4 linked regions of the Arabidopsis thaliana genome follow. The protein of the gene in region 3 interacts with the protein of the main gene of each other region in a pairwise test. Each region holds a gene or a part of one and is shown on either strand. Other genes may lie near its edges. The genes, in order: LPAT2, AMT1;2, RPK2 and AT4G27610.

Region 1 (6,291 bases), about 21 Mb from region 3:
GTGTTTCAGCAAGAACGGAGACAATTAGGGTTTATCAATTGATACAAGTCGGGACTTTAATCGGAGTTTGAAAACAGAGAGAAAAGCGGCGCGAGCAACCGGACTTGTGAAGGTTTTTTTTTTCTTTTGAATCGGCGTGAAAGGGTTTTAGTTTTAGGGTTGAGAAAACTAAAATAAAAATTGTGTTTATTATATTATACACTCATTAAAAAAAAAAAAATGTGTTCTATCAAAAATGGAAGAAAATAAAACCTGTTCTTTTACGATATTCTCCCTGTAATCACCGTCATACTGTAGTTGAATTTGTCTAATCTCAGTTAATTCCATGAACGGGTTTCTGTTTTTTCTTCTCAAAATGAATTTTTTTTTGTCTAATCACAATTAAGTCCCAGTAGGATTAGTCTAGTCAGATAATTTATGTACATGAATAAATTCTGTTTTTTCTTCTAAAACGTCTTGTAATAACATGTTTTGTGCCTAATAAATTCTACACTAGCAATGAGAACCAAGGAACAAAACAGTTTAATAATAAAAGGAAAATGTCTAATATCAATCCCAAATTCCAATCTAAAAATAGAAAGTTATACAAGGCCTATGCACTTGAGAAAAAAAATCCCAAGGGACTATAGGGATTAAATCGTTGATTTGATCATGACCCTATACATCAATCGACTAAGAGACATAGGCTGCGTAGTAGTAGTAGTAGTAATATAGTAGCTGAACAAAACGGAGTTGATAATATTAAGGGATTTTTCATTTGGATGTCTTTTTTTTTTGGTTTTCTGTTTCTTATAACAAAACTGACACGCGCTTCTTCTTGTTGTGTTTGATGTTTGGATCTGTGAGAACCAGTTTTTACTTCTCCTTCTCCGTTTCTGTTTGGGAGGATGATTCTGGGTGGTGATTGTCTTTTGGCTTGGCTGGGACGACTTTGGCTGGGGTCGAACGCTCTGACTGAGACGAGCGTATCAGGATCTGCATACAGAGAGTGATGATACCTAGACCAAGCGCCGATATCGTGATACCTTTCCATGAAGAAAAGAGTTGTGCCCAGTGTAGGAACTTTATTGCTCCAAGAGTTAGTACGCATGCCCATGATAGAACCACCTGAGAAAAAGATCAAGAGATTTGTGAGTTTATAGATGGAACCAAGAGAATGTTATGAATTTTATAGACTCACCGCAAGGGACTTTATGGGACGGCCAATGTTCTGTTCTTGTTGACCGGGGAAAGTGTCTGCAGCTATGTGTTTGTCTAACAGAGCATCCTGTATCACAGAGACGAGATGAGAGAATACCAAAATGAAAGCTTTTCCAAGCTTTTCTCTATCAAATCTTGACCAAATATATTATTGCCAATAACTGAAACGTGGAAATACCAGTACATCCATAATTTTTACCTTAGCCACAAACTGATCTCTGCACCACTGTGCAATTGCGTCATCTGATTCAGGTAAGTCTTTCATCGAGTGACACTTGATGTGAACATGCACCTTGAAACCAGCAGCAATGGTTTGCGTTAATGGCGCAGGAGGTTTTAAAAGAAAAAGGCTTGGGATGGGATGAGTCCTACGGTTTCTTACACATTATAAAAGTAAAGGTGATATAAAGAGTTATGTTCGTTTCAGTAAATTGGATGGTGATGTGATCCAAGCCAGTGCATACTTTGAAATTTGTTGTGAGAAGAGTGCAAGATTCAACTGCTATACGACCTATTCATATTTTTGCTTGCTTACCACTGAAGGTTGTCCTTTGAATAGTCTTAGCATCGTGGGTGGTGGAGAGGTTTTTGGAATAGTCACTGTCATATCATAAATTGCTGGGACAAATGAACGCATATTACTAACAGCTGACACGAAACCCTGAAACAAAAATACAAGCAAGTCTAGTAATTAGGGCAGAAATCACAATAACAACCACCAAGTCGATCTGATGAAAATGAAACGTATAAAGGCTACCCATGCATTGAGATTTTGGATCATCATAGCAATCATTTTGCTTTTTAAAGGACACAGAGAAGATATCAAGTTGCCCCAGGAATGAACAAAAGAAAAATATTACAACTTACTTTGGTGCGAGGAATCAACACATTTCGAGGGATAGGCAATTCAGAGGAGGCTGCATACTCTTGTGCGGCTTTAAGTTTGGCTTCTGTAAAGCGAGTTCCCTCCACAAAAAGGGCTAACCAGAAAGGTCGAGGGAAGTCGCTCAAGCGCTGAAGACCTGACTGTAAATTTAGACAAACACACATAACTCATGGTCTGGAAATGAAGATTCTGCATTTTTAGGCTAATCCCCTCATGAACGAGGTAGCTGCACGTGCTAATAAGCATTTTACACAGGAGCAAAAACTAAATGAGTTGCACAAGGATACTATAAACCCATACCTTTAGAGTGCTTTCATCCTTGGCCCAATTTCTTTCCAGAAAGAGATACTCCGAGAACCACATTGACCAGCCTATGACCTGTATGTGTGTGAAAATTCTGTTTATGAGTACTATGAATATGTAACAGATAAAAAAGGCGGAGAAGTGTATTAACCTAAAACAATGATTTTTTCTCAAACGCAAAGCCAGGTATCAAATTTCTAACTTATAGAAGAGATTCAGAAATAGAATTAAAGATTACTACTATTTTCTCTCAAATCTAGCAAGCACACAGCAGTAAGCTAAAATATTCACATACTGGAAGGAATTTGGAAGACTTCTTCATTACAGCTAATGCGCTTCCCAGGCAACCTGACCGCTGCAAGGAAAGAAAATATGAAACAATAGATTAAAAGATGTAAACAGCATAACAGGGAGCGTGTTAAGAGAAAATATGATGATGCTATACTCTCTCATATCTCATCAGATGATCACTAGGGACTGTCACCTTCTACCTAAGATAATCTTTCTTAAGTAGATACTTGGAAGCAATACATGGTCCCATTGCAAGTATACATGCTTTCTCATCAAGAAGTCTATTATGTTGATCTCCATTTATGCATTCAAACAAAAACGTAGGAAGATAGATGAAACTGTGAGGTGAAATTATGTACCTGAGCCAGAATCCATCCCACAAGCCAATCAATATCACTTCGGTGATTACAAACGACAAGAGCATGTTCTTTGCCTAGAAAAAAATAGTAGGACAGTCAATGAAGTTACAGATTCGTTCTTACATAGGAATTTTATATCTTGAAGACATCAGAAACTGATTTGATTGCCAATAAGCATATGAACTTACCCATTCGATTGAAGGTCTCATTATCAGCAAACACTTGGATCTAAGGGAAAAGAAACAAGAAATTTGAGAGGAACTCATAGAGTTAGATAAGATAAAACAAAATCCAAGCTTAACAACCATTTAGTAAAAAGGAGAAAGCTTGTGGATACCTTAACTCCAGCCCACCAGTCAACTATCCATACAAGCTCCAACCACAAGGTTTCTGCAACCACCCGGTTAATTTTTCTGTATGTGTTCTTAGACAGTGGTCGAATGAGTACATAGCAAACTGCCTGAAACAACAATATGTAGTAGTAAACATCAAAACTGAAGCAAACGAAGTTGAGAGAAAAAAAGATTCCTTCCTCGATTCAATCAACATAGAAATCAAGATAAATCTGAAGAAAGTGATACTTAATCGCAGAATCAAACAACACTCTATAGCTCAGTGCATGAGCTCCACGAGTCAATTTCGAGCTTATACTCTCATATGCACACTCAGAATTAAGACACAATCACCGACAAAAACGAAAGAATCAAAGTTTCTGGAGAAGGAAACCCTAAAAGCAGTGAATCAAAACAAAAGAAGAAAGGATCTACAATGTAGAACAACAACGGAATCTAAAAAGAGTAACACCAGAAACGAATCAGAAACCAAACCTGAAAGAGATTGACAGCGAGACCAGATATGAAGAAGAGAAGGCCCAAAGGCACGATGACAGCTGCAGCAATCACCATCCTCAAAAAATCCCACCAACAAAAGCTAATGTGAGGAGAGAGTACAAAGAAGAAAACCCAACAAATCGTTCCCCGAGATTTCCAGAAACCAATGAAGAAATATTTTACCCCAGATTTCAAGACAAGTTGCAGAAGTTTTTTAAAAGGGGAAAATAAATAACCCAACCAGAAAAAAAGAGAAAAAAAATCGCAAAATTAACTTTGCGATTTAATGGGAAAATTTTGAGAAGAGTGTTTGTAACTCTGGATTTTTATTGATTGATTGATTATATACGGAGATGATCACGAGGACACATTCGAACACGGCAGAAGCGTTTTTTCTTGTTATTTTGATTTTAGCCCCTCTATTTGTTTTCATACTTCAAAACATCTCCTATCTCTTCGACTTGGTTGGATTGGCCAACTTTGAAGTTTTGAACTATGCAATCAATGGGCAAGGAAAAAAAAAACGTCTGTCGGAAATTGATCGGTATACACTACCAAGATGTGATTACTCCTAATTTTTTAAGTTAGGATTAATTCCCTTTGCATGTGGTAAAAAGTGCTAGCTGGACTTTCCAATTAATTATAATGTTTGTATGGTAAGCTTATATATGGAAATGTAACGTCCAAATATTTCAAATCAACAGATTTATTTCAGGTGAATCCAAAAAAATTGTTACATAATTCTTAACACTCATAGACGACCACCAAAATGGTTTTACTTTTACCAATAAAATGGCCTAGTGGCGGATCTTAGAACCTTAAAGAGAATGTAATTGGAGAAAGGATTAATGTGTTACCCATACCGCTTAATATATATCCTTATTAGTCTGATATGCTACTTGTCACTAACATCGAATCCTTTGTTCATGTCTGGCCCTAGTCTGAAGGTGACTAATATACTAATATTACCGTGGATGTTTAAGTGCTCCACTTTGTTCCATATGTTTTCAATTTTTCCGTTCAATTCTTCCTCTTTTTGCTATTCTCTAGCCGATGCCTTTTGTTTTTTTGCTTGTAAATTAAAGCATGACGTCTTTGTGATTCTATTCACATGGTTTGGTATGGTTCTGATTGTTTATGTGCGGTGTAAAGTATGAGAGTCTTTCATGGTTTGTATAAATATAAACTAAATGATATTTAAGTGCACGTTTGATTCTTTAGTATTCTAATATCGAAATTTCATTTCAGTAAAGTTCAAACATTTTTTAATTTTTTTGTTATTAAATATTTGAAGTTACAAAAGTATTGTTGAAGTGGTTGATCTATCTAACCAAATTTTCTTTAAATATAATGAAGAATCAAAACAAACTAAAGAACAAGTTCATCATCTAGTTATTTTCAGCTGTACTATGCTCACCGCTTTATTCAGATTCTCCAATAAATTTTGCAGCAAAGTGGAAAAGATAACAAAAAAAACAAATAAGGGTTGTTGAGTTTTTAGTTACAATTTTCCCTACGTAAGATCATTTGCCTTAATTCACGTAACATAGCCACATGCTATCATTTCTATGTGATTGTACATATTCATAACAAATAGTTGACTGCCAGACAAAATATGTTAGAAACGTATGCATACACCTTTTTTCTTTTTACAACAATATATATGCATACACTTGACGCATCCTTAAACATATTATGATTTTTCTTTCTTTTTGTCAATGTGGACTAAATTATCCAATTTGAAAAAGAACAATGGGAATCGAACCTGAAATACTGAGGCGCCAACATTTTTACTTATAATTTTAAAAATGATTTATGTAAAACATTGCTTGTAAGTTTTAACTATAGTCTCAAAATGACACCAGAAATTATAGTTAGTAATTGCTCTGTTTTTAATTACTTTTTTCTCGGTTAGAGACTAAATCACTTATTTTGCAGATATTTTTTTGCATTGTATAACCAAACAAAAAATTTAGTTTTGTTCTAGTCTCCTAAATTGTAGCAAAGAACCAGTGGAACAATGACAAACAAAAAAAAAACAGAGAAAGCCTTAGCTTCCTAACTAGTTTTCAGGTGATGTAGAAAGAACTATGAAATTAGTCCGCAAGTCTTGTTGTGAGCTTTTTCTTGGAAGGACGACTTTGTGGGATATTCAACAACGACAGCTTGACTTTATATCTTAGCTAGTGTTCTTCGTTTTGATCAACTGAGAGTGTGTGAGGTCTTCAAGTTTTGTCATTTTATTTTTCAAAGTTAAGTGTTTCTCGATTAGTTGAGGAATAAGATATCAAGAGCTAGAGGGGGGAGATGCTGTTAGAAGATCTCATCGAACGTTGCAATGAATATAACTGAGGAGATTGCAACTGCTTTAGCTTATTTTCACACTGTTTTCCAATTCTCAAACCCTATTTCGATCTCTAAA
Region 2 (4,458 bases), on a different chromosome or scaffold from region 3:
GTCAAATAAAATTCTAAATAAAACAAACATCTAGGTGGGAGCTACTCAGATTTGTATGTAGTATATAAGATCAACTTTTAGTGGTGAATAAATGGGTGATGATAAAAAGAGAGGACGAGAAGACAAATGATAAAATTGAACGGTAATTTATGGCAAATGGGAAAAAGGATAAAGTACATACGAGGCTCCGGACCATCCGTTTTCTAAAGTAGTAATATACTAATATAAATATATTTATATTTTCATATTTAAAATATTAGTTATTCAGAAAATTTGACGACCAATCAACAGAAAAGAATCATTGAACCAATGGATACCATGGAACTAGCTAGAAGCCTAGAACCATAGGTTATGATATCAAATCCCGAATCATGGTTACGTATTATGTGGTTTGAACAACAACAAAAAAAAAGGTTACATAGTTTTGTGGTGATAACATAACCGATAAGTACCCAAGACAACTTTCTTATGATCAGTATGTGATAATTTGATAAGCTCGTCCACAAAAAAAAAACTCGTTTATAATAAAACTCGACAATTCTGATTAATTTCCGTTGGTGATTATTGATTAACATTCTAACGTTCATTTTATCAAAACAAAACATGCTATCGTACAAGATTTTTTTTTCCTCTCTTTTCTTAACATTTAAAATGTCTCAAGACCGCTCAAATTCCAATGTTTAATTTTGATACCAAACGTTCACTTTAATTAAAAAGACATACTGATCATGTTATTGTTAACAGTTCCACACTATCTGTCCACAACAGAGCGATAACCAAGAGAAAAAAAAAGAAGAAGAAGAAGACCAATAATACACAAAGATGCGTCCAACATGTTTGGTGCCCGAACTCTTGTCTTCACCACATTAAAACTGACTCGTTTGGGACCACTCAATTCTCCAATCAAAGTATCAAACAGTCAAGGTCGGTGTAGGAGTCGAGCTCCGGCTTGTAGGCTCCACTCTTCCAGCGAAATGACCCCATGGTTTAGTCGACACGTCGTCTTCGTCATTGTATGCGTAAGCAAATCCTCCATGACGTGTCATGTCCATTCCTGCCATCTCATCTTCTGCTGATATCCTCAAAAGATTCATCTTATGTAACCCATAAAACAACGGTCCCATAGTTACCGTCACCCACCCAACGATCACAATAATCTGAACGATCTGCGCGGCGAGCAGTTTTCCTCCCCCGCCCATGAACAGTCCGTAAGGCCTATCACCGGAGTAAATCTCGTTAACGTATTCTTTCCTTGCGAACAGCCCGGTAAAGATTAATCCCCATGCTCCACATCCACCGTGGAGCTGAGCAGCCTCGAGTGGGTCATCATATTTAAGTTTCTTGGCAAGCAAGTTAAATCCGATTAAAACCCATGATGCCACAAAGCCACATACTATAGCAGCCCACGGCTCCACCACGGCACATCCGGAGGTTATAGCTGCAAAGCCGCCTAGAAGTCCGTTGCATACGTCAATAACGTTCCAATGACCTGCTAAAAGCCGTTTACTGAATAGAGTAGTCAACGCAGCGGTGCAGCCAGAAAGCGTTGTGGTGACCGCGGTGCGACCTACAGCGCTCCATTGACCATAATATGGCCGAGACTTGTCGTAGCCTTTAAGAATGGTTAAAAAGGAACCAGGGTTAAACCCATACCATCCAAACCACAACAAGAAGGTACCAAGCACGACAAGGGATGCACTGTGACCACGTAAAGCCACGGACCGGCCTGACCGGTCAAATCTACCTATTCTTGGTCCTTCAACTAACGCTCCACATAAACCGGCAATTCCACCTACCATGTGAACAACTCCTGAACCTGCGAAATCAATAGCACCTGAGCCAAACAAGAGATTGTTGTCAGACCGGGACGCGCTAGCCCATCCATCACTTGACCAGAACCAGTGCGAGACTGTCGGGTAAACAAAACCGGTCAAGAAAGTAGAGTAGATAAGGTAAGCAACGAATTGCGTTCGCTCGGCGATGGAACCGCTAGTGATTCCGGCCGCGGCTATGGCAAAAGCCCATTGGTAGAGGAAAAAGCTGAAGTCGGAGCCGGGGCGTTCAGGGTAAGAGCTTAAAGCGAAGAAGCTATGGTGGCGACCGATGAATCCGTTGGAAGGTGTACCAAAGGCGAATGCGAATCCGAAGAGGTAGTAAGAGATGGCTCCAGCGGCAGCATCAAGGACATTGGTAAGCATGATGTTCATAGTGTTCTTGGCTCGGACTGATCCAGCACAAAGCATAGCGAAACCGAGCTGCATGGCAAAGACAAGGTAGGCGGAGAAGAGGAGATACGTGTTGTCGACGGCATAAGTTGTGTCGGAGAGTTTGTTGGAGATGTTTGAAATTTGGGAACATAAAAAGGTTGCCGCGGCGAGGGAAGATGTTGAGTTAGAAGAAGAGGATAGGAGGGCAGATAGATCTACGGCAGAGCATGTGGTGGTTGCGGTGTCCATGGTGGAGAGGGAGGGAGGGAGAGATAGAGAGAGGGTACTTGATTGTGGAACGTGTTTGCTTAAGTGAGTACTTGTGGTGAGAGTGTCTTTGGTGTATTTAAAGTGGAAAAAAGCATATTTATTTCGTTACATCACAAAAAGTTGCGGTACTACTTACTCTTCTTCTAGTTGAGGTTTTAAAAGAAGTTTTCTGAATTTTAAAATTCTAGGTCTCTGGTTTAAGTTTTTTTAAACAGTAGTAATCAAACTAAAATAAAATTAATAAATTTGTTTTGGTATAGTTTTGTTTTAGTTTCTATTCAGTTTTGAACATATTTAAAGTTAATTTTTTAAAGAAGATTTTTTTATTTTAATAAGATATTTAATCAGTTTTTGTGTGCAATTAATTTTGGTTATACGAATAAAAAAAGAAAAAAGAAAATTCTTATAATATTTCGTTTAGTGTTTGAATCGTTTATTTTAGTATGACAAGGAATCGGGTCAGCATTTGTTTATGAGAAACAATTAATTAAACATCGCTACATAGAAGTACGACATTAAAGAACAAGTTCAAGCATATGACGATATGATTCTTTTAAATGAATTTGTATGTCTATTTTTCCAACTCAATATTTTATATGAACTAGTTAATGTTCTTACAAAGGAGAAATAATTTATTTTTTTTGACGGCACGATTCAAAGGAGAAATAATTTGATTTCTTTTTTGGAATTAAAATAATTTGAAAAATGTAATTTTTCGTTTCGTTTGTATCGATGAAGTCAATAGTTGATAGATCATGAATGATGTATCATTTATATGAATGTGATATAGGGGGCAAGGACGATCACTCAAATAGTTATAAAATTATCACGCTAGATTAAATATAAAAATTATTTTCAACTTGACTACAACTACTTCACAACTGAATACGTAATTCGACTTGAATAATAGGCATTATTTGATGCTGTGTGATTTTTAGCGCCATTTATTTTTGTATTTTTAGTTAATCAAACAAATATGTTGTAATTTGAGGTACCGATTTCACATAGAATTTATATTGCACTACGTATTAGAGAATAAACTGTTAAAGCTACAAACTATATATAGGGTTCAATTTTGTGATTACAGGAAAAATATATATGCAACAAAGGAAAGATGAACAGATTCAATAGTAAAATCGTATTAGGTTTTCACGGAATCACAGTGATAGTAGGAAATCACGCAACAAAGAAAAAAACAAAATGAATGGACATATGAACAGTGAAAATGTTTTTATATTACGTTAAATGTTTTTAAAATGCGATTTATGAAAAAATGGGTAAAAATAAATGCGATTTATGAAAAAATGGGTAAAATTAGAGTGTTATCAGCAAGATCCGATCCAAAACCAATTGTTACTATGCAGGATAATGCGAGATGGGCATTCGAGTCAGGTTCTGATAAAATCCGATCGGGTACAGGTTTTTTTGGATAGAGAAGTTTAGGATCCAATAGAGTAATTCTAAAATATCGGTTTGATTTTGGTTCGGGTCCAATCGGGTTCGAATATAGATTTTCAGGCCTTTTTTGGAATCGATACCCAAATTTTCGAATAAATACCCGGATTTTCGGATTCGGGTCGAATTCGAATTCGGTTTTTTGGTAGAGAAATTTAAGACAAATAAGATAAATCTTCGAATTCGGATCTAATTTTTCGGGTCGGTTCCAGTTTGAGTAATCGGTTCCGGTTTTTTGCCGCCACTAAATTTGCTAGAGTCAAAATATGGTAAAAACTGCCGCAAAAGTGAACCGCTAACCACGTGATTAAATACACTTTTCTGGTAAACAATATAACTTTGACGGTCATTCAAATGCTGAAGGACGTGTTGCTCACTAGCATAGTTTATGTCATTCTACACAAGAAGATCTAGTCCTCGTAGCTTCCAAAAATTTTCTTTTCTACTCCTGGAAGATAATCGTTTCTTTTCATCCTTCAAACTTACCAAACGTTTATACGATTAACATAGGGTTTTGTCTCCAGCG
Region 3 (6,431 bases):
GTAAGAGAACTAAGTTTTCTCTCTAAGTCTAATTGTGGATCGTCAGGACTGCTTTGTAACTAATGCGATAAGTGAGCCAAGAAGGGGGCTATATATGATTGATAACGGTGATCTTTCGTAACACACTAATGGCTATAAGCTCTAATTTCCATTCTTCAAATGAAACCGTTAGCCTCAACGAACGGATGTTTCACAAATGTTGAGCCAATGGATGGATATACTCGTCTTTATTATCGAGCAATACGCTTGGCGTTAACTATTCATGGAAGTAGCATGTAGTAGCGAGAGTCGCTCTATTTGATACTAGATACATAGAAGAACCTTTCACATCGCTGTCTTTCAAGAAGGATGAAGATGCCAACTCAACCAAAGCAAGCCAGACCACTACCGAAGAAGATCGACAATCATGAATCAAGACCCAATGATGTACCATTCAAACCCAAATGGGTGGAATTGCTTTCTTATGGGGATTATACTGATAGCATTGTCGGTCTTCTAAGTTAATATTGGGCTCATAGCCCGAGTTTTTTTATTCGCATATATTATTGGGCCCATAGCCCAAGTTTCTCAAAATGGAAATGTCAATCAAACAAAAAGGATCGGCAGTTTAAACATACTAAAAATCGAAAAAGAAAGAAAAACTCCCACAAAACTTTAGTATAAAACAATTTACAAGTGGGAGAAACAAATTAGCTACAAACAATTCTTTCTCATTTTATGGTTTTCTGCTTACTGAGAGAGATCAACCTTCCTATGGCTTCCCCTTTCAAATGTCCTTTTTACCCTCGAGAGAACCCATAGGAAATTCAACCTCTCTTTCTTCTTCTAACAACTACTACGTACACATACAAGTTTACAACTGAGAGAACTTTTTTTAAAGAAAGAATAATAATCAAATCCTGCGGAGGGAGGTGCTAACACGACGGAGGTTGTAGCTGCTTCAACCGTCTTACAACTTGCTTCATCGTCGGCCTCGTCGACAGAGAATCCACCGTACAAACAACCGCTAAATGCAGAACCTCTACTAGATCATCATGCGGACCTGCGTCCCACAATCCCGCTGTGAAAAACTCCTTTGCCCTTCCTTGTCTCAACAACATACAAGCCCATTGCACTATGTTGAAACCATTACCATACGACACAAATGACGGATCAAGTGCTTTCTTGTCCGAAAGCAGCTCTAGAAGCACCACTCCGTAGCTGTATACATCTGCTTTGTCTGATACCCTGCATGTCATTGCGTACTCGGGAGCTACATACCCAAACGTACCCGCCACACCAGTTGTTGCGTGCGTTTCCGATGTCCCAAGCAATCTCGCTAACCCGAAATCTGATAAATACGCATTGCAGTCATCATCTAGGAGGATGTTACTCGGTTTAACATCTCGGTGAAGCACCCGTGGGACGCATTGGTCGTGGAGGTAAGCGAGTGCTCGAGCTATGTCCAGAGCGATCTTATGAAGAACTCTCCAATCTCTTGTGGATCTTTCTTGGATGAATTTCTCGAGGTTGCCTCCTGGGAGATAGTTGTACACCAAGAACATCTCAGTTTCGCTAGCGTGGTAACCGATGAGAGTCACGAGGTTCGGGTGTCGAAGTCTACCAAGAGTTTTGATTTCTGCGTGGAACTGTTGGACTCCCTGAAACCGTCCGATCGAGAGGCGTTTGATTGCGACAACCACATCTTGAGAGATTTCTGCTTTGTAGGTCGCTCCAAATCCACCATTTCCAATCAGATTGCTTGCGTTGAAGTTTCCTGTGGCTCTAACCACGTTGTCAAAGGTTATTGGAACTCCGATATCCATGAACATAGTGACTTCTCGTTTTGTAGTGGCCATGATCTTCGATTTCGGATGCCATTTCCTTGTGTAGAAGAAGAGAATTACAAGAGCAATTAGTACCGAGACAATCGCTGAAGCTGATGCGATTGAGGCGATCTCTAGCGAGTTGAATCCACCCTTTCCTGGCGACTGAGATGGAGCGTTTTCAACAGGCGAAGATGCGTAATCCTGCGTGATAGAATCACCCGTGGAGTCTCGGGAATCCGAAGACGGTGTTGTCAGAGAAAACACATGGCAAGGTCGAAGATAGGGGTTTCCACTAACAGTGCTGCATTTCGTCAGTCCATTGGTTGAAGGAACTGGACCAGACAGATTGTTGGAGGAAACATTGAAAACAGCAAATGTCGCAAAACCCGACGGGATTGGGCCAGAGAGGTTGTTATTGTTGAGAAGCAGGACAGTGAGATTCTTCAAGTTTACGAAATCATGAGGAATACCGCCAGATAGATGATTTGAAGAGAGATCAAGAACATCCAAGGAATGTAACTGACCAAAGCTCTGAGGAATTTGCCCCGTGAGGTTGTTATTCGCAATCGAAAGATATGTCAAAGCTGCCATCTTCTTCCCGAGGCTACCCGGTATCTGACCTTGCAACTGATTCCAGCTCAGATTAAGAGCAACAAGTGAAGCTAGATCCCCGAGACTTGTTGGGATTGGCCCGAAGATCTGATTCACCGAGGCATCAAGAATCTTAAGAGAAGTGCACATGTTGTTTAGTCCCTGAGGAATCCGACCTGAGAGCTTGTTGAAGCTTACATTGACATAAACAGCTTTGAGTTCGTCGCAGTTATCAAACAGATTTCCCGGAAATTGCCCGTACAACCGATTCCCTCCAGCAGAAAATATGTAAGAGACTCGCTTTCCCAACCGCTCCTGTGCAAGTGGTATAGACTTGAGAGTACCAGTGAAGTTGTTGTCTGCAAAATTATGAAACACGGCCGGACCTCCATCACTTCCAAGATCTATCAGGGAAGTTCCAACTTGAGCCTTCTCGGTAAAGAAGGAGAGATAAACAGACGACGGGTCGCTGTAAGATTCAATAGAAAACCTGTCAAAGTAAACAACAGGAGGACAATGGCTTGTGGTATTGTTGAGAAAATCAGGGATTACACCCGATAAGCTGTTTCCACCAACATCAAAAACACTCATGCATGGGACCGAAATCTCTTTGAGAAGCTCCCCAGTAAGCCTATTCGAGCTCAAATCAAGAAGACGAAGGTTCTTGCATTTACTAAGACCGACAGGAATTTCGCCTTTAAAGAAGTTCTGACCCAAATTAACCATCTCCAAGTTTTGACATGAACCCCAATCTCCTGGAAATCTACCTTCTAACGTAGCTCTGGGCACCCAAAGTATCTTTAGTTTCGGAAGCCTAGTGATTTCCTCCGGGATTCCTCCTTGATAGAAATTGAAATCCTCGGTCATCGAGGTTAAATCAGCGCCTGGAGGAAGATCAGCTTCCCCTCTTACACTATTAATGTCTTCATACACATTGTACAGATTTGATAGAACGAGAACAGACAACGAAGAGCAATTTCCAAGTTCAACAGGTAATGGACCACTAAGAGTGTTCCTAGAAACATCCAAAACCTCAAGCTTCTGAAGACTCCCAAATTCTAAAGGGATAGTCTCCTCCAACGTATTCATATACAACAACAACGACCTTAAACCAGCACATTTCCCCAAACTCTCTGGAATCCTCCCAGTCAAGAAATTACCAGACAAATCTAAATGCTCAAGCTTTCCACAGCTATCCCCAATATCTTTAGGCAAAGAGCCTTGAAGCCAGTTTAACGGCAAATGCAACACTCTGAATCTCCCAACAAAACCAGGAACAGTTCCATTCAACTTATTACCACCCAAATTCAAAATCTCCAACTTTGTCAGATTCTGCAGCGAATTAGGGATTTCACCTGAAACTCTGTTAAACCCCAAATTCATAACCCGCAAATTCCGTAACCCAGTAAACTGATCCGGCAATGACCCCGTCATCAAATTCCCTTCCAGATCAAGAACTTCAAGCTTCTCCATTCCCCAGATTCCTACAGGAATCTCTCCACTAAACGAATTAAAAGGCAGAGACAAAACCCTAAGTCCTGTGAGACTCATGATTACAGAAGGCAAATTCCCCGCCAAAGCTCCATGATTTCCGGTACAATCCCTCCGAACACCAAACCCATACAACGGAAACTTACCAATATCACCACAAGTGAAACGATTTCGACTAATTTCAGAACTTCCAGAGCCACTAATGTTAAGAGCCATGACTCGAGAGCTCGAATCGCAAGATACACCAAACCAGGAGCAGTAATCTTCACTCTCTTCGACCCAGCTAGCTAGAATCGAACCAGGGTCCGATACCGTTTTCTTAAACCGAAGCAACACGGATTTGTCCGAATCAGCTAAAACAGTGATTTTTCCGGCGAGACAGGAGGCGAAACAGAGTAAGCAGAGCGAGAAGACAACGTCTGAAGGCATCTGTCTGCGGAAAAAACGCCATTTGATCACTGAAGAAGGCAAAGAAGTCATCTTCGTAACTTATCCCCAAAAATGTTTTTACAACAAAACCCTAAACCCACCTCGCAAGGTCTGCTAATATAGCAATTGACGAGCAAAAGATCCTTCCTTTTACCGTGCGAAACAATCCCAAGCTCGACCCTTTAACCCTAATTTAGGGAGATGATGAGAAGCTTTGTAGTGAGAGAAACTGATGAAGCAGAGAGAGAAAGAGATGAGAGAATTCAACACTGTCACTGAGGAAGACGCGTTTTTTTCTTCTCTCTCTCTTTTTTTTTTTTTTTGATAAAAGATCTTAAAAATGTTTTTAATTTAATTTATGCAGAAAAAAATAAAAAATCGTTCTGTGAATGAGAGAGTGGGTCCACTTTCCTTATTTCCTATTGGCTAACAAACTCTTTAGTGTAATTTTAACTTGGAAGAAGCAATTTTTGATTATTTATCGATCATGTAGTGAAGTTAACATTAAAAGTTTTTAACATCGATCATTGTAGTCTCACCACATCAAATCGCAATAGGTACATGATTGATAACAGTAGGTAGATGCAAGATTATCTTATCACTAAATTTGAGGACAGATTATTTTAAATTTTTTGTTTATTCGAAGTGATGAAATAAAATATGTTGAGTCACAATAAATGTAACAATATTTCAACTCTCCTAGACGTATCAATCTCTCATCGACCAATGTTATGCTAAGATCTTGAAGCTAACATTTATTACAGATAGATATATGTATATGGACATGCATTATATTAGGAAAATTTCATAATCTCACGCTAAAAGAAAAATCGCCTGCCACTATACATAAATGCATGTGACAAAGATGTGTTTCTTTATAACAAAAATATTGAGAAATTGTAAAGTGAAAAAGGGACAGAATCGCCTCTTTTCAAGGATATAACTAAAGGAAGCTTCAAGATAAAGCAAATTAAAATGTTTTTTCTTAAATATAAATTTATAATTTTGTCATGTACACAACACATTAGCCACATTTATGGGGATAAAAAGACTGAGTTTATAACCTTTTCAATTAGAAGAAAAAAAGGTTTGTTTTTCTTTTAGTGAAATATATCTGTCTTTTAGCTACTACTTATAATAATGATACGTATTGAAATAAAGTAATAATGAAATGTGGTCCTTGTATGTATGCATCACCATGACATAAGAGTTATATCATCCATCAACCGGTTTACAACATCCGGTAACCGAAATTAATCGAACCAAAATATGGTGTTAATCCTGAAAACCAGAACTCGGTTTGGATCATCACTCTTGGTTTACAACTATTTTCATCCGTACAATTTACACATAAGAAGAGGAATCGCTTCAAACGCAAACGCTAAAAGTCTCCTCTACTTGAATGAACCGCATTTTGAAGGACAATGGAAGCAAGAGAACCAGCAGGTTCTTGAAGCTTTTAGCGATTGCGTTCGAGACTCGAATTTTTTTGATGCCTTCCTTTGTGGTTGTGGTTCCGGCTGAGACTCAGTTAGCATATTAGATTCTGAATAAGGTTGTAGTTGTTGTTGTGGCTGTAGCATTCGCGATTGAGGCAGCTGATACTCGGGTCTTCGCTTGTGGGAAACGTTTCCTTTGATTTGCATAGACGGCGTTTTGGTAACTGCATCTTCTTTTTGCAATCTGTTACATAAATTCCAAAGAAAGTAAAATTAGGGTTTTAAAGTTTCTTCTTGCTCAAGAAATCATCAAAAATGGATCGATAAATTGAGATTTTGAAGAGAACGACTTACAGTGGGAATGCGAAAGAACCAATGCTGTTATTGCTAGTGTCCGAACGACAAGAAATGCTCGGAGAATGTGAAACTATACTGTTCGAGTCTTCAGGTTTATTCTCCTTCACAGTTTCTATTACTTCTTTCTCTACTAAAGCCTCCGCTTCGATCATATCTGTTTGTTCTTCTTCATGTTCGTCGTCGCTCTCGACTTCACTCATCTTCTCTTCTTCTTCATTATCCTCAATATCTGAGTTTGAGTTCTCCACCTGGTATGGTTCCTTCTCTGCAATCGTCTCTTTCTCATATTCATTTGGTTTCTTAACCGGAGGTGGAA
Region 4 (5,245 bases), on a different chromosome or scaffold from region 3:
AAAGAGTAAAGACGGGAGAGAGAGGAGGAGGAAGCATTATTAGAAGCGGTAATGGCGGAGAGAGTGAAAAAAAGAGAGGCAGAGGTAGGAATTGGAGAGAGGAGGGAGAACGCCATGGAATTAGATAGTTTTGCTCTTTGAATGAAGAAAGCTCACATCTCCATTCAAAAGCGAGAGGAGCAAGGAAGACCAGCAAAACCCGAGAGACGGCCTCTGAGAGGATAAAGTATGACTTTGACTTTATATGTTTATTTATATAAATCTTATTAGGATAAAACTCTATTTCTTATTTATATTCAAACCCAAAATTTCAGAATAAGCATAATTGCTAACAATTTTATTTTAACTGTATCTTAAAAATAATAATGTATGTTGCGTCTATTTATAAATTTAAAATTTGTTTATACTATTTATCATTTGTGTTAAAATTGGCTAATTCTTCTAGTGAACACATCCTTATACGTGGCGTTTGTAATTATCGGGTTAGTTACCAATTACGGAGAATAAAAAAAAAAAAAAAGTAGAGAGCTATTCCCGCGGTAAATTCTTCAACAACTATCTATTTACCTTTACACCAAATGTTGAAAGAAAAAACAGAATCAAGACATTCAAAAACGAAAGCAGAAAGCCAGAAAGAACCTGAAAATCTTGATCTCCACCGTTCTTAGTACATACTAAGATTCATTTTCTCGAAAAAGGAAAAAGAACCGAAAAAAAAAATAAGAGACGCAAGTATGCACAATGCCTAACCTTTCCACCTACAATAAGTTTTGGAGCTGTGAGTCCAGTCTCTGCTGCAACTCTTTTACCTTCTGCGAAAGCTCAATCTTCTGCTCCTTATAGCTTCTAAGTAGATACTCTTTCCCATCTATCACTTCTTTAAGCTCACTCACTTCCTTTCTCAACATCTCTACTCTTTCTCCATCCCTTAGGCTCTTTTCTTGTGACTCATAATTGCTTTCGCTGTCCATAAACCCGCCATTCCAAGGTCCAACCGGAGATGTCTTGCCATTGCTGTCCGCGCCACATCCCACGCTGTGATCAGCAATTGCCTTTCTCAGTCTTTGAACTTCTCTTTCTGATTCAAACAGATCTCTGTTCAGTGTGTCTAGCTGTGCCTGGAGATGGCTTGAGTGTGCCGTCTGTGCGTTATACGAGTTTTGCAGCTCTAGAATCTGTTCTTGCATTTCCTGTATCATGTCATCCCGTCTCTTCAGCTGCTGCCTTAGTTTCTGTATTACTTCTCGTTTGCTGAAAATGTCTGAGCTGGTTTCAGATACGCAAGGAGAATCTGAGCAGTTTGAATTGTGATTGTATGGTCTTGGGGGAAGTTCCAGGCGATCAGGAGAAGTTGCCCACATGACTCCATTCTCTTTGCTCGATGGAGCAGGAACTGTCACAAGAGGCAGTGAAGTGTCAGATGCGGATATCATTTGCTCGCTTGTCACCTCTTTTCCTTCCACACTCTCAGTTCCTATAAAAATAAAGAAGCAAAGGCTGATAAGATCCATACACGACTGTTTGCTCTGGACTACATGAATATTAGGATTCAGAGATTTTCCAAAGAGAAAACATAACTCAGGTCTGGATCTAATAGTACAAAACTTGTAACTATGCTTAACGAGGTCTTGGTAGATAACAAAACTAGTAACTGTTTTTAGCATTCAGCCACTAGACACAGCCATCAATGGAGAAAACCTGCTTCCCTAGTTGCCAGCCCAATTGATGCAAATTAATGGTAATATGCCACAACGAAACAAGAGATATTCGATTCAACCAGTTATTGCAAGGTGGCAAATCTTGTAACTATTTTACTCATTCCATAACTTCGAATTGGATTCCCCTAGTTGACAAATACATCATGAGGTAAGATAACAGAGGCTAGAACTCTATAACAACATCTACACATTCTCCCAACTAGATTTTACTATATATCACACATCGTTTTAACTTCATGAAAGGAAACCCAGTAAGACATGATGCGAGACCAAGAAACAAGCATATAGCGTTTGTTTAGTAGATTGAACAAATATGTATGAGGCAAAACAGAAAGTTACAAAGTCACACCTGGAATGGAGCGGAAGCAACAAAAATCATTATTTTGTGTACAGGAAGATGTGGTAGAGTGTAAGCAACAGCTTGTAGATTTTTGCCTCTCAGATGTTCCATTAGCTGCACAAGAGGCTTTCATTTAGTGATAGAAAAAAACTAGAACCAAATTATAAAACATGTTAAGCAACACAGCGATAAAGTAAGTACGTTTTAATCCAGCAGAGCCATTTGATTGAGGTTTCGAATCAAGCGACTGCTTTAGCTTGTATCCAAAGCGAATGGACAATGTGCTCAACAATGCACCCCCTGCAATTAGTATCCAGTTTGGCCCTTCACCACAAAATTTATCACCTCGCTGATGCTTGGAAATGCCATTTCTTCGTGTACTCATTGTATGAGAAAGTCAAAATGTATCTATCATCCAAACATAACCTACATTGAACGGATACAAGAATCAATCATCATCAACGATCAGAATGAATTGGGCATATGTCAACAAGAAACCTGGTGTCAACTCAATAAAATCAACAAATATACAATTTTAAAATCATCAAATGCTTAATACCCAGAAAGATTCCAGAAACTAGAATATGAAAAGATAATGAGCACAAAGAATCACGTTTTGAGCATTACCTCAAACACAGTCAACCAGAGAAGGAAAAACAAAAAAAAGATCTAAAATGATAGTAACACTGAAAAGAGAAAGACAAAAAAAAAAATGGAAGATTCTCTAAGTCAAACATTCTCAGTTGAGAAAGTATACGACGAATCCATGGAATCATATAGGAGCACAGACTCTACCTCAAAAAAAGCAAATGCAAGAAAAATGGAGTTCCCTGAAAGAGTAATCGAAACGTTGATGCCATGGGATTTAGATTCTAAAACTACAAAAGCAAGAAGAAGAGATAGATACTTGCCTTGAACATGAAGCGAAATGAAAATAATAACAACCCTTATTTTTTTCGATAGGGGCCGTTAATCGATATCCCAACAACCCTTAATGAACACAACAATCGCAATCAGAAGGAGAATAAGGAATTACATAAATCCGAGCTCGAAAATAGATTTTCCGACGAATCAAAAATCAGTGAGCGAGCGAAGCACCCAAAAACAGGGAGAGTATAAAGGACTCTTTAAAAAACCTCATAGACAGCAGAAAATGGGCATTAGGGCTCCATAGTTTCCCTCCCGAGCCAGAAAATTTCTCCCGCTTGAGTTTCAATGTTTGATGGGTGGTCCTTGCAGCTTCGAGAATCGAAAAAAATCGCTGAGAGAGAAATACGATTCCGTGAAGAATCGCAGAGTCTCCGACGATGATATGACTGTAAAACCCCCGGGGAGGAGAGAGAGAAGCAAAGTGGAGGGGAAGAGGTTGAAGAGAGACGGCGCCTCACAGTTACAGCTCCGTTGTTGTTTTTTCCTTCCACTGTTAATTCATTTATTAAAATAAAATCACGCACGCGTCAACCACGTCCCATGGATGACGCTCACGGTGGTTAACAAACTCAGCTCATATGTTTTTTTCTTCTTTCTTTTCTTCTTTACGATTTCAATTTTTTAGTAATGAAATTTAATAGATAATTTGAGTATGAATGAACATTTGACATCTTTATCCATGTGTAAATGTTTGCACTTTCTGTTGATTATTTTTTTTTTTCTATTTTAAGTCACTACCAGCTAATGTGATGATACATTTTTCTTTTGTCTTCTTCACTATGTGACAACTACAAAATTAAATATTTGGTCCTTCCTTCTCTAACGATTTTCTTCCTTATGAATATCAAAACCTGACTGAAATAAGTGCCAAATTAAATTTTAGCAACCCTTCTTTCTCTTTCCTTAAGAACAAGTAACCAACTTTCTTGTAAAAAACTTCAACTGCAATTCTACAATTTAAGCCTTGAGACACGATATTGTATGAGTTTGCAACTTTCGAATATCCACTTCACCAAGAGAAAAAAACAATTTGGATAAAATCATAATTGACACCCAAAACAATGTAGTCAGTTGATAAGTTTCCCCGGAGAAATTGAGATATTTTTGAACAAAGATTCATATTTTTTACTCGGGGAAACAAAAGAGAGTGGTAAGAATGCACAATGCCTAACCTTCTTCACCTACAAAATGTTTGGGAGCTGCGAGTCCAGTCTCTGCTGCAACTCTTTTACCTTCTGCAAAAGCTCTGTTTTCTGCTCCTTATAGCTCCTAAGTAGATACTCTTTCCCATCTATCACTTCTTTAAGCTCACCCACTTCTTTTCTCAACATCTCTATTCTTTCTCCATCCCTTATTCCATTTTCTGGTGACTCGTAGTTGTTTTCGCTGTTCACATCGCCACTCCAACCATTGCTACCTGTGTGTCCCACGCAGTGATCAGCGATTGCCTTTCTCAGTCTCTGGACTTCTCTTTCTGATTCAAACAGGTCCCTGTTTGTTGCGTCTAGCTGTGTTTGGATATGGCTAGAGTGTCCCATCTGGGCGTTTAGCGAGTTTTGCAGCTCTAGAATCTGTTCCTGCATTTCAACTATCATGTCGTCACGTCTCTTCAGCTGTTGCCTCAGTTTCTGTATTACTTCTCGCTTGCTGAAGATGTCTGAGCCGGATTCAGATACGCAAGGAGAATCTGAGCAGGTCGAATGTTGATGGTATGCTTTCATCGGCACTTCCAGGTGGTCAGGAGAAGATCCCCATACGACTGCACTCTCTTTGCTATATGATGAAGCAGGAACTGTCACAAGAGGCAGAGAAGTACTGGACTCTGCCATTTGCTCATTTGTAGCATGATTTCCTTCCCCATTCTCAGTTCCTGCATAAATGAAAATAAGAAGCCAACTCTCAGAACACCCACACAAAACTTTTCTGCCATAACACAAGCCATCATTGGGGGATAATACTACAGCCTTCATAGTTTCCAGCTCATTAACGTAAGTAGCTACTTAAGTATGAATCCTGATTGGGGTACAAAGACATCTTTAGTCAAATATTGTTCCTGATTGGGTTACAAAGATCATTATGCAAGATACTAGAGGCTACAAATATGTAAGAACCATCTCCATATTCTTTCAACTATTTGACAACATCTCCCAAAATCTCTTTTCACTTCAAAGATACCACAAAATCAAACCCCAGTAAGAGACTATGTGAAGTGAAGTTATGTATAAGCAAATTCAGTAGTAAGAATAACAAACTCACA

Evidence for each region.
Region 1: the proteins of RPK2 (region 3) and LPAT2 interact in a protein complementation assay, tested with the Arabidopsis thaliana proteins (one large-scale study listed by BioGRID).
Region 2: the proteins of RPK2 (region 3) and AMT1;2 interact in a protein complementation assay, tested with the Arabidopsis thaliana proteins (one large-scale study listed by BioGRID).
Region 4: the proteins of RPK2 (region 3) and AT4G27610 interact in a protein complementation assay, tested with the Arabidopsis thaliana proteins (one large-scale study listed by BioGRID).

The regions. Positions count from the first base shown.
Region 1 is NC_003074.8:21,347,404-21,353,694, reverse strand, and holds LPAT2 (lysophosphatidyl acyltransferase 2), read right to left. Parts: upstream 4,313-6,291; 5' UTR 3,945-4,312; coding exon 3,867-3,944; intron 3,500-3,866; coding exon 3,377-3,499; intron 3,268-3,376; coding exon 3,228-3,267; intron 3,114-3,227; coding exon 3,040-3,113; intron 2,745-3,039; coding exon 2,685-2,744; intron 2,465-2,684; coding exon 2,387-2,464; intron 2,227-2,386; coding exon 2,068-2,226; intron 1,862-2,067; coding exon 1,736-1,861; intron 1,493-1,735; coding exon 1,400-1,492; intron 1,268-1,399; coding exon 1,181-1,267; intron 1,108-1,180; coding exon 856-1,107; 3' UTR 502-855; downstream 1-501. UniProt on the Arabidopsis thaliana protein: Converts lysophosphatidic acid (LPA) into phosphatidic acid by incorporating acyl moiety at the 2 position. Has preference for C-18-CoA substrates compared to C-16-CoA substrates. Required for female but not male gametophyte development.
Region 2 is NC_003070.9:24,060,110-24,064,567, forward strand, and holds AMT1;2 (ammonium transporter 1;2), read right to left. Parts: upstream 2,696-4,458; 5' UTR 2,457-2,695; coding exon 912-2,456; 3' UTR 531-911; downstream 1-530.
Region 3 is NC_003074.8:378,665-385,095, reverse strand, and holds RPK2 (receptor-like protein kinase 2), read right to left. Parts: upstream 4,747-6,431; 5' UTR 4,371-4,746; coding exon 915-4,370; 3' UTR 514-914; downstream 1-513. Other genes in the region: AT3G02125 (pinin-like protein), read right to left, coding at 5,714-6,002, 6,113-6,431.
Region 4 is NC_003075.7:13,784,890-13,790,134, forward strand, and holds AT4G27610 (intracellular protein transporter), read right to left. Parts: upstream 3,627-5,245; 5' UTR 3,195-3,626; exon of another isoform or gene 2,485-3,194; 5' UTR 2,444-2,484; coding exon 2,260-2,443; intron 2,173-2,259; coding exon 2,068-2,172; intron 1,475-2,067; coding exon 759-1,474; 3' UTR 524-758; downstream 1-523. Other genes in the region: NARA5 (pfkB-like carbohydrate kinase family protein), read right to left, coding at 1-116; AT4G27620 (intracellular protein transporter), read right to left, coding at 4,170-4,858.